Ovis aries: one gene and its partners. The protein of the gene in region 1 interacts with the protein of each later gene in a biochemical or structural test. Links are inferred from orthologs where the notes say so. Each region holds a gene or a part of one and is shown in the gene's direction. Other genes may lie near its edges.

Region 1 (3,747 bases):
AGCAGTCTCACTGGCTCTTCTTGCTGTGTGAAAATTTATTATTCATTTATTTAGTAAATCTTTAGCAAGACTGCAATAAGGACCCCAGCAGGGAATGAGCTGGACACTACTCTTCCCCTAACAAAGTTGATGGTTCAGAACTTCTCCCAGGAGTCAAGAAACTTGTCCAGGGAGACACTGCTCTTTGGAATCACAGACTTGCCTGGCCTGGGGGCTGGGTGGCTTCTGCACCAGTGGGGATCAGGTATTCCTGCTTCTAGATGCTCAGTTCCCAGCAGCACTGAGCTCCTGGATGTGTGCCAAGACAAAATGAGAGGTCCTAGTGAGGATTTAATTAATACTGGATAATTACCAGGCAGAGCTTAACCATCCCAAATGCCTTTCAGATTCCCAAGGCTATATCTAGTCACTTTCTGACTTGGCCCAGCAGAGAGACAGGATGCTGTCCCATGCTTACTGGGACTTTGGTCAGCACCTGGGCTGTGTTATGAACACACTGGGAAGGTTTCCACTTTTTTCTCTTCCTTTGCAATCTGCTGTAGGTGAAAGTGCAGCTTGGGAAATAGCATGGCCTCTCCAGATTGCTTAGGCCCCTTCCTAGGGACAAAGGATAACAGTGTCTTGCCATCTGCTGAAACACCATCAAGCAATGCTGGCCCAGGGCCCAGGGTCCAGGGCAGAGTATGGGGAGAGAATAGGTGTGCAGACCTAGTCCTGGGAAGCCTGATGGGAACCCTCAAGCAGAGAAACAGGCACAGTAGTCCTTCCTGCCCTAGGCTTTATTCCTTTTTCTCAAGGAACATATTTTCTAACTCATTTTTCCAGATTTATCTGCCTGTGGCTCCCAAATTATTATACCATCGAAACTCCTACTGTCTACAAGGCCTTCTTTCTTTGACATCTCAAAGACCTCCTGCCAGACTTTAGAGGGTCCTATGGTCATTCCACCATGCCACCCAACGGTCAGGGTGGTTGTGACTTTCCCTGGTCTTCACTCTTGTTGTCCTCTATGTCCACATGGCTTTCCTCTGGCTCTTCCTGTGGTTAGATCCTGCCCAGGTCTCGGAGTCAGCTTGAATGTCACCCCCTAAAGAGGGTCCCCTTGTTCTCCACCATATCTGGAAGCACACCGAGATGGTAAGGTGGCATTCTTGCCTGTGGCTCTCAGCTATGTCCCTGGTACCCAGTAAGCGCGGGCAGATGGTTGGAGCTTAGCGTTTGCTGAAAGAAGAAATGAAAGATAAGAGGCACTAACACTCCGCTTAGCGGGTAGACCTCTCATCCTTGCGCCTGGACTGAAGATCACCAGGGTAGCCGGGCGAGCAGACGGCCCCTTGGCGCAAGCGCACTGAGGGCCGGCGCTCGGCGGGAGCGCGCACGCTCGCGGCCGCGTGCGTCACAACCCGGGCTCCCGCCCCGCCCGTCCAGCTCGCCCGCTCGTCGGTGCCCGCGGCGGCGGCGGCGGCGGCGGCGGCGGCGGCGGCGGCGGCGGCGGCGGCTGCCCAGTGACAGCGGCGGCGGCGCCAGGCCGGCCGGAGTAGCGTAGGGTGGTGGGGCCCGGAGACACACACCCTGCCAAAGGGCGGCGTGGCGCGAGGAAGGCCCGACCCGGGTCGCGCGTGAGGAGACCTCGCGGGGCGCCGGGCGAGAGGCCGGCGTGAGGGAGCGCCCGCCTAGGCGGTGGCCGCCGGCGGCCCGGTCCCGCCTGCCGCCGCCGGCATGAGCCACATTCAGATCCCGCCCGGGCTCACGGAGCTGCTGCAGGGCTACACCGTGGAGGTGCTGCGGCAGCGGCCACCAGACCTCGTCGACTTCGCGGTGGACTATTTCACCCGCCTGCGCGAGGCCCGCTCCAGAGCCTCCACCCCGCCCGCCGCCCCTCCTTCCGGCTCCCAGGATTTCGATCCCGGCGCTGGCCTGGTCGCCGACGCGGTGGCGGACAGCGAGTCGGAGGACGAAGAGGAGTTGGACGGTAGGCGGCGGGCTGGGCAGGGGTTCGCGGTACGGGGACCGAGGAAGCGGTGCCGGGGGGCGAGGGTCTCTCGAGATCCAGAGAGGGGCTGCGAGGGGCCAGGCCCGCCACCCTGGGCCGGGACCTTGGAGCCCGCGAGGGGAGTTCGTCCAGGTTCCCCAAGCCGCCGGCGTGAGCCACTTCCAAATTGAGCTCGGCGATCCTGCCAGCCCCGGAAAGCAGCGAGCGAGTTGTCAGATTCAGCTCGAGGGAAACGTGCGCGCTTTCGGCCCGCGTGCTGGCGCAGGGCCGGAGGGGCGTGGAGCCCACGGCCGCCTCGGCTGGAGAAGCTTCGCCCGGTTTCGTTGCGAAGACAAGAACGTTCGCCTACACCGACTCGAGTTTCCTAACCAGGACGGTAACTTGGGAAAGAACTCATTTTGTGAAAAGTTATCGTGCAAACTTTAAGCGTAGACAGAAATAGAAAAGGTGACCTGAACTCCCTGTATACCGTCACCCACGTTACACAGTTGAAATATCTGTCACAAATGTTTCATCTCTCTATATATATTTTTTCTCCTTTGCTGAAGTATTTTAAAGCAAGTCCCAGCATTTCACGTTCTTTCAGTCTTGGATACTTCAGTATATGTATAAAGATATATGTATAAAGATATATTTAATTTGCCTAAAATCACTGGATCAAATGTGGTGAGGGTCAACAATACATTTTTTTCTCATATGTGGTGCAGGAAAGACGACTAGTAACACCTCTATATCTGATTTAAGCAAGATTGTCAAAGAGGAATTCCATTTTCCTTGATGGCTTCAACACAGACTTTGTCAGTTTAACGATAGAATTACCCTAGTTTTGAACAGCCAGAATTTAACAAAACAATGAAAACACTTGAGAGACAAAGTTAGAGACTTAGTGTTTACTAGCTCGCACTGAGAAAACCCCCAACAACCTAGTTTTGAGTTGAATCCGCATGTAAGTTAGGCTGGCAGGGAGTTAATTATTGGTCATTGCTATTGCAGGTTGTAAGGTTCAGTGCCGTGGACAACTTAGTTTATTCACGCTAAGAATGGAAATTGTTCGGCCATGTTACCCTGGCTTTAATACACATTAAATTATGGGTTTTTCACCTTAAACCTGGAAATCAGAACTTATTTCACAAACCAACCCCTGCCACAGAATTGCTTTGTGGTCTAAGATAAGCCATGGAACTTGTCTGATTTCAAATTTGCTTATCTTTAAAATAGGGTTAGTGACCACAATCTCCCAGGAATAAATGTGTTTTTAAAAGGTTTATTTCAGAAGTGACTTCTGCATTTGTTTCACTGTCATAACAATAAATCACAAAGTTGTAACTTGCTTTGCAACAATATTTACCCCAAATGTTATTATTTTAGTTATTAGTCACAGGTGAGTAAAACAGAATTTCCAAGTTTTGTGTCATGTCTTCATTTTTTGGTCATTTTTTATATATTTTTCAAAGTTGAATTGACTCAAATCTTTGTAACCCTGTGCTTTATTTTACTGGTATTTAATTTTTTTGTTTATATCTCTTCAGTGGCTGTGCTAAGTATAATTATAGCAGTCAACACAAGGTGAACTTCTGTTTACAGATAATAGACTAAAAATACACTGCACACAGTGAGATACCACTTCATAACCATGTGGTTGGCTATTATGGAAAAAAAAAAAAAAACAGAAGAGCAAGTGTTGGTGAGGATGTAGTGAAATTGGAACTCTTGCTTACTGCAGGTGGGGATGTAAAATGTCCTGGCTGCTGTGG
Region 2 (3,647 bases), on another chromosome or scaffold:
AGCAGCTCCACCGGGTGGGGTCCCTGGGGATTGCTTCGGGGTTTGCTTATACTGGGCTGAGTGTGGCTCCTCTGGCCCGCGGGGTGCATGTGCTCTGGAGTTGCCAGCAGGAGCCCAGGGGTTTTAGACCTTTGTTTTCGAACTGAGGCCATTCTTTGGACCTGAGCAGACTTGGAGAGGTAGAGGACTCAAAAATCCAGCCTTGTGCTTAGAAACATCCCAGTGTCTAGGAGGCGAAAATGCTGCCTTTGCAGCCTCTGAGTGTGAGCCCCATTGCTGGGGAGGAAATGGAAACTGCCTGTTGCCTGGTGCAGCTGCTTAGTAGCTGTGTGCAAGGGAAAGGCGCTCAGTTGAGTCCGAGTCTATGCGACCCCATGGACTGTATCTCCATGGATTATACAGTCCATGGGATTCTCCAGGCCAGAATACTGGAGTGGGTAGCCTTTCCCTTCTCTGGGGGATCTTCCCATCCAGGGATTGAACCCAGGGCTCCCACTCTGCAGGCAGATTCTTTACCAGCTGAGCTATCAGGGAAGCCAGTAGCTGTGTGAGCCTGGCCAAATTAACTTAACCTCTCTGGGTTTGTTCCATCAACTGTGAAATGGGGATAAACAGATGCTGTTTGTTTTGCACTCAGAACAGTGCCTGGTGAGTGAGTGCCGAGAATACGTGTGAGCCTGAGCTGGTGTGAAGCAGAGGACGGGTCTCGGGGATGCTCGAGTGTGGCTGCTTGTTAACCCTCTCACCTCTGTCTCTCTCCCGAAGCACCTGGTTGGTCGGCTGATTGGCAAGCAGGGGCGCTACGTGAGCTTTCTCAAGCAGACATCTGGTGCCAAGATCTACATCTCCACCCTGCCTTACACCCAGAACATCCAGGTCTGCCACATCGAAGGTCAGTGGCAGCCGCTGCCTGGGTTTTATGACAGTTTTCTTACCTGGAACGTAAGTGACTTGAAGCATTTGAGTCCCACTTGCTCCCTTTTGAAATCTAAGTCTCTGAATAGAAAACCCTGCTTCTCACCCCAGGTGAAGGGAGTGGGCGAGTCTTCCCGTTAGCCTCATCACTTCCGGTATTGGAAGGAGACTTGGGATCCCCCAGATCTTCTGGCGGGAAAGGGGTGGGCACTCGGGGACTGGCCAGGGGTCCTGGGCTGATGGTGGACAAAGGCCAGCCCTCCCCGTCGGCTAAGCTCCTGTTGCATTAGTGCAGTCATAAACAATAGAGGCCAAATGTGAAAGGGCGACAGGCTTCCAGCTTTAGATGTGTTTCATCCTAAGGCGAGGCTTGGCATTTTGGCACCTTAAAGGTGCACCTGAACTCTGGGAAAAGTCTGGTGCGGTTCGGGGTGGGCCTGAGTTCAGTTTTGCTCTCTGTCTGAGCCCTGTGACTGTGGTCTGGCCCCACATTCAGGCTCTCAGCATCATGTGGACAAGGCGCTGAACTTGATTGGCAAGAAGTTCAAAGAACTGAACCTCACCAACATCTACGCTCCCCCGCTGCCTTCGCTGGCACTGCCTTCTCTTCCAATGACTTCCTGGGTGAGCATGCCCCTTCCTCCCGGCCGGCCCTAGGTGGAAGCCCCCGAGGCCGTGGGCAAGGAAGGCCAGGGCACACTGCGGCCTGCCCTTTCACCTCTGGCCAGCGGTCAGCTCTGCTTTTAGTTTTCTGGGTTGGGCTGGGGGCCAGGCTGCTGTAGGAAGCCAGAGGCTTCTCGGTCCCTGCTTGGAAGGACCGTTCTCCCCGCCTCTGCCGCCTGGGCAGTCTGTTCTCTAGGCAGTTGCCTGGAAAGGACTGCTCCCTCCTGACTGGCCATGTGCAGGCTGGCTCGGGACGCCTTTGAGCTGTGCCTTGTCCTGGTAACCCTGAGCCCTGGTTCAGGGACCCCTCCGGTGGAGTCGGGTCCGGCGGTGGCCCTGGTGAAGGAGGCCCTTCCCCTTGCATCCTCATGGGGGGCACCTGGGCCATAAAGGGAAAGAAGCCCCGCTCCCCCTGCACTCCCGGGAGCCCTCGCAGAGGGGCTGGCGTTCTGGGGCCTGTGTGCTGGGGCTGTGGGGCCTCTGGGGCCTGTCACCCCATCCTGCTGTGCGCCTCCAGCCCTGGGAGCCTCGTCTCACTGGGAGCAGAACTGTAGGTTTCTGAAGGCTGAGAACACTGCACTTCACACGTAGGGTGGGTGTGCACTCCAAGAAAACGTTTAAGATGCTGGCCTTTTCATCCTGTGTCTTTCTCCCTCCCAGTACCCTTGTGCTTTGGGGGAGGGGGTGGGTGTCCCTTCCTTTCTTGTGAGTATCCGGGAGTAGGCTGACCCCCACTCCACGCTTCACTTCTGAATCATCGGGGTTTCCTGTGAGGCTTGGCCCCAAACCCGCTCTTTTTCAAGTAGTTGAGCGGTTGGTGAGGCCTCCTCTCCTTGGGCTCTGAGTGGCTGGAGCCATGACTGTTGGCCCGCAGGGCCGGGGGGTCAGCGCGGAGCTCTCACCCGAAGCTCTTTCTGTGGCCGCCTGGCTGGGAGGTGGCATGGATCCCCTTCTGTGTCCACAGCACCTAGGTGTTGCCTTAGCTTGGAGAGAGACCGACGGTCACGCTGGCACTCCTGGGGTCAGCTGCCATTCCAGGGAGCTGGCAGAGCGGCCCTCAGGCTTAACCATCTCTTACTCTTGTTCTCAGTGGCCACCCCATTCCTGTTTGCCTTCCCTGGGCCTTGCAGGGTCTGGAGAAGAGGGGGACTGGGTAGAAGCTGTGCCCAGGCCTGTGGGCGGCCAGACGCTCCATCCACCGTGGACGCCTGGGGGCCTCCCTGCCCAGCTGAACTGAGGCCACCTCTCGTGGTTACGTGGGGTGTTGCAGGGCCAGGGCCGCAGGGGAGCCAAACACTTAGAACGGCGTAAGAGAGCTTTCCTTGCACCTCTGTTGTCTAGGAGCCGTGTTGCTTTGGTTTGCTCTGCCTTTTCCAAAGATGTGCCAATTTGGAGTCTTGCCCTGGGGCCTCAGAGTCTATCCCAGGCGTGAGAAGGGCTGCTGAGTGCACACGCCCCTGCCCTCTCTGCAGCTCATGCTTCCGGACGGCGTCACTGTGGAGGTCATCGTGGTCAACCAGGTCAACGCCGGGCACCTGTTTGTGCAGCAGCACACTCACCCCACCTTCCACGCGCTGCGTAGCCTGGACCAGCAGATGTATCTCTGCTACTCTCAGCCTGGCATCCCCACCTTGCCCACCCCGGTGGAGAGTAAGCGCTGCCCTCGGGGCCGGAGTGGGGCGCCTGCACTCTGCCCAGGCTCGGGGAGAAGTTTAGGGGGTTCTCCTCTTGTTCTGCCCGTGGTTTTAACCAGCAGGAGGCTGTTCTGGGGCTCTTCCTGGGAATAGCATCCCTGAGTTCTTGGTGTCAGCCTGGGGTGCGCTGGGCTCCATTTCCTGGCTAGCTCAAGCTGGTGTTTCCACAGGCTGATGGAGAGAAGGGGTCAGAATAGAGTTGGCATGAGGGTTCTGGTCTCAGCTCTGCTGCTCGCCTGTTGAGGGAGGTGGACGCCCATGGGGTCTGGGAATCGGGGTGGCCACTGGGTGTGTCAGACAGGCACAGTGCCTGCTGCGGACGCCGCTCTCATAGATGGTCCCAGAGTCTGGTGACGGTGGATTGGGGCATTTCCA
Region 3 (3,647 bases), on another chromosome or scaffold:
GAGGAACAGTTGTGTTGATGGTGACCAAGATTATAGATCAGAAGAGAAGTCGGATGTAGAGGCTGTAGCACACCCGGGAGGAGTAGATCCGTTTGTTCTTCCTTTACCACCAAGTTCTTGTCTGTCAGGTCTAACGTACAAGTATCCCAGCTGTGAAAGTGTGACAGATGAGTATGCAGGTCACATTATCCAAATACTAAAACAGGAAGGTGGTAATAGTGACTTAATAATGGACCAGTACGCCAACAGACTTGCCTATCGGTCTGTTAAGTCAGGATTGCAAGAAGCAGCTAAAACAGCCAAAGTGAAGTGCAGCTCCAAAATATTCCCTGTGCAGAGCTCACAGATGAAAACCAACGATGAACTGTTACTGTTTTTAAATAAAGAACACCAGCAAGAAGCAGATAAAAAAAGACAAAGCAGAAGTGGTGGAAGTTACCTTCATAAAAACCAGACTTGTGAGTGGACACGGGACATGTGCAGAAATGAGTGCTCAGAACTACATAGTTTTTCAACCTGTCTTGCTCACAGCATCACAAGAGATGTTACAAAAGAGCTGATGGCATCAACAGGTGGCTTGCCAAAATCGTTAACAGATTCTTGCCTTTATGAAAAAAACGCATGTGACGAAGATACTGAGACTCATGTCGGGCCAGAGTTTCCCAAGTCTCTTCAGCCTTCTTCACAGAATCACAGATTTTCTCAGAGTACAGGCAGCTTGAGTGGGTGTGGCTATGGAGAGACTGTCGTTCAAGCTATAGAGCAGTATGCTAACAAAGTCGTGGGCGACACTTTAGAGGTGGGTTTAGGATCTGCCGTCTTCCACGTGTCTGAAGCCACAAAAGCAGTTGATAGGATCACTTACGCAGAAAAGCTGTCGCATCTGGTGGGTCAGGCTTGCCGATACTGTGACCGTAAAGAGCTCCATGACTGCACTGGAAATTCGTCTCCTTGCTTTCCCAGACCGGATTCACTTGCTGGTAGTAAGCCAGTTTCTCATTCACAGCTTAGCAGCTTCTATCAGAAATCTAGGATTTTTCATCTTGATGTCCCTCAAATTCACGTTAATCTCGATAAGAAGGCAGTGCTTGCTGAGAAGATAGTTGCTGAAGCGATTGAAAAGGCAGAGAGAGAGCTGAGTAGTACCAGCCAGGCAGCCGACAGTGGGATCGGACAGGAAGGCGCCAGCTTTGCCGAAAGCCTCAGCACAGAGATACTGGCGTCAGCAGTGGTCAGTGCTGGACAGGCCGTCAGCAGGTAAGCTTCTGATTTCTTTTGGGTTTTGCAGTAAAGAGTTAACTTGATTATTTATGTCTTAGAAAGATGTTCAGAAAGATGTGATTCTTTTTAATCCTAAATGAACAAAAAGAAATACTCCCTATTACATTTGCATATCGTTGCTATCCTACCTGTTACTTTTCGTAGACACTGTCTCATTATCCCCCAGCAGCCCTTTGGGGGAAGGAAGGTATGAGCCATTTCCTCAATTGGAAGGTGAGGCTTAGAGTAGATAGTCACCTTGCCCAAGTTTACACAGCTGTAGAGTAGGTAAGGTTGAATCAAGGAAACAGCTGGAGAAGTTCATACAGCAAATACTGAGTATCACCATATTAATGTACCACTCTGAGATGATGTTTTTATTTCTGTTCACAAAGGTAAGTTTTCTTACAAAGAGCATAATTGAACGTGCCAGGCATCTCTGTCCATGGGATGTCCCAGGCAAGAATACTGAAGTGGGTTGCCATTTCCTTCTCCAGAGGGTCTTACCCACCTAGGGTTCTGTGTTGCAGGTGGATTCTTGACCAGTTGAGCCACCAAGGAAGCCCCGTGAAGAAAGCAAGCATTCTCTAACTAGTTCCCTCCTGCCACCACTCCTCTGGATAAACCGCCGTCTAAGGGACAGCTCTCTGTGATAGTCCTACAGTGTTCTGTGTTTTAGAGGCTGTGCCTTGTGCTCAGTGGTCCTAACAGCTTAGTTCAGATGTTCACTTTTAGCCTTCTCTCTCCCTGGGAAAACATCAGGACTGATTGGTGTTATTAGTTTGTAGGATTATTTTTGTGAGTCTCATGGAAAGAGAAAATTTCTTGAGTTGAGGAGGAATTTCATTGAGCCACATGGTAACCCAGGATATTTTAGTATCTTTTGTCAGTGCTGTGACATGCACTGCCTCTTTTCTTGGCCATCTTAAGATAGGGATATGCAGGGAGCTAGTGCTGGGGGTGGTGTGCAGTTTTGAAGAGGTAGCAGGAAGCAACTCTGACAAAGTGACATTGGAGCAGTGAGCCAAAGGTGAAGAGACAATAGCTAAGTGGAAATCAGGGAAATGGAGTTCCCAGCCAAGGTTAGTGGGACTGCGTATTGGGGAAACAGCAGAGAGGCTTGTGTGGCTAAGGTGGGTGAGCCAGGGAGAGCAGGAGCCCGGTGGAGGTCATGAGAGGTCATCATACCAGATGCATGTTAAAAGGGTTTGGACTCTTATTCTGATTTGATGAGAAGCCACTGGAAGGTTTCGATCAGAAGACTAATACTTCCCCTCTTCATGTTTGAAAATATGGGGCAAGATTGGGGTATAGGGTTAAGAGGCACAAACTACTATGTGTAAAATAAGCAACAAGGGTAAGTTTTATAGCATTGGGAAATAAATATAAGCCATTATTTTTTAATAACTTTAAATGGAATATAATCCTTAAACATACTTACTGTGTTGTACACCTGAAACTAATAAAATAATGTAAATCAGTTCAGTTCAGTTGCTCAGTCGTGTCCAACTCATGAATCGCAGCACGCCAGGCCTCCCTGTCCATCACCAACTCCTGGAGTTCACTCAAACTCACGTCCATCGAATTGGTGATGCCATCCAGCCATCTCATCCTCTGTCGTCCCCTTCTCCTCCTGCCCCCAACCCCTCCCAGCATCAGAGTCTTTTCCAGTGAGTCAACTCTTCACGTGAGGTGGCCAAAGTACTGGAGTTTCAACTTTAGCATCATTCCTTCCAAAGATCACCCAGGACTGGTCTCCTTGAGGATGGACTGGTTGGATCTCCTTGCAGTCCAAGGGACTCTCAAGAGTCTTCTCCAACACCACAGTTCAAAAGCATCAATTCTTCGGCACTCAGCTTTCTTCACAGTCCAACTCTCACAGCCATTACATCACTACTGGAAAAACCATAGCCTTGACTAGACGGACCTTTGTTGGCAAAGTAATATCTCTGCTTTTGAATATGCTGTCTAGGTTGGTCATAACTTTCCTTCCAAGGAGTAAGCGTCTTTTAATTTCATGGCTGCAATTACCATCTGCAGTGATTTTGGAGCCCCCCAAAATAAAGTCTGACACTGTTTCCACTGTTTCCCCATCTATTTGCCATGAAGTGATGGGACCAGATGCCATGATCTTTGTTTTCTGAATGTTGAGCTTTAAGCCGACTTTTTCACTCTCCTCTTTCACTTTCATCAAGAGGCTTTTTAGTTCTTCACTTTCTGCCATAAGGGTGGTGTCATCTGCATATCTGTAAATCAACTGTACTTCAACAAAAAGTTAAAACATCACTTTAAACTGTGAGTCAAGAATAAAATGTAGAAGGGGCATACACAGTAATTGAACAGAAAATGGAATTTCTTGTGAAGATAGAATAAAACTATAAGTGCTT

What was found.
Region 2: the proteins of PRKAR2A (region 1) and AKAP1 form a complex in vitro, tested with the Homo sapiens proteins (2 studies listed by BioGRID, with this or other methods). The link is inferred for Ovis aries from reciprocal best matches to the Homo sapiens genes PRKAR2A and AKAP1.
Region 3: the proteins of PRKAR2A (region 1) and AKAP11 form a complex in vitro, tested with the Homo sapiens proteins (2 studies listed by BioGRID, with this or other methods). The link is inferred for Ovis aries from reciprocal best matches to the Homo sapiens genes PRKAR2A and AKAP11.

The regions. Positions count from the first base shown.
Region 1 is NC_056072.1:51,132,725-51,136,471, forward strand, and holds the start of PRKAR2A (cAMP-dependent protein kinase type II-alpha regulatory subunit), read left to right. Parts: upstream 1-1,427; 5' UTR 1,428-1,719; coding exon 1,720-1,972; intron 1,973-3,747. UniProt on the Homo sapiens protein: Regulatory subunit of the cAMP-dependent protein kinases involved in cAMP signaling in cells. Type II regulatory chains mediate membrane association by binding to anchoring proteins, including the MAP2 kinase.
Region 2 is NC_056064.1:7,655,022-7,658,668, forward strand, and holds part of AKAP1 (A-kinase anchor protein 1, mitochondrial), read left to right. Parts: intron 1-765; coding exon 766-892; intron 893-1,411; coding exon 1,412-1,539; intron 1,540-3,050; coding exon 3,051-3,228; intron 3,229-3,647.
Region 3 is NC_056063.1:12,815,012-12,818,658, forward strand, and holds part of AKAP11 (A-kinase anchor protein 11), read left to right. Parts: coding exon 1-1,257; intron 1,258-1,790; coding exon of another isoform or gene 1,791-1,851; exon of another isoform or gene 1,852-2,740; intron 2,741-3,647. UniProt on the Homo sapiens protein: Binds to type II regulatory subunits of protein kinase A and anchors/targets them.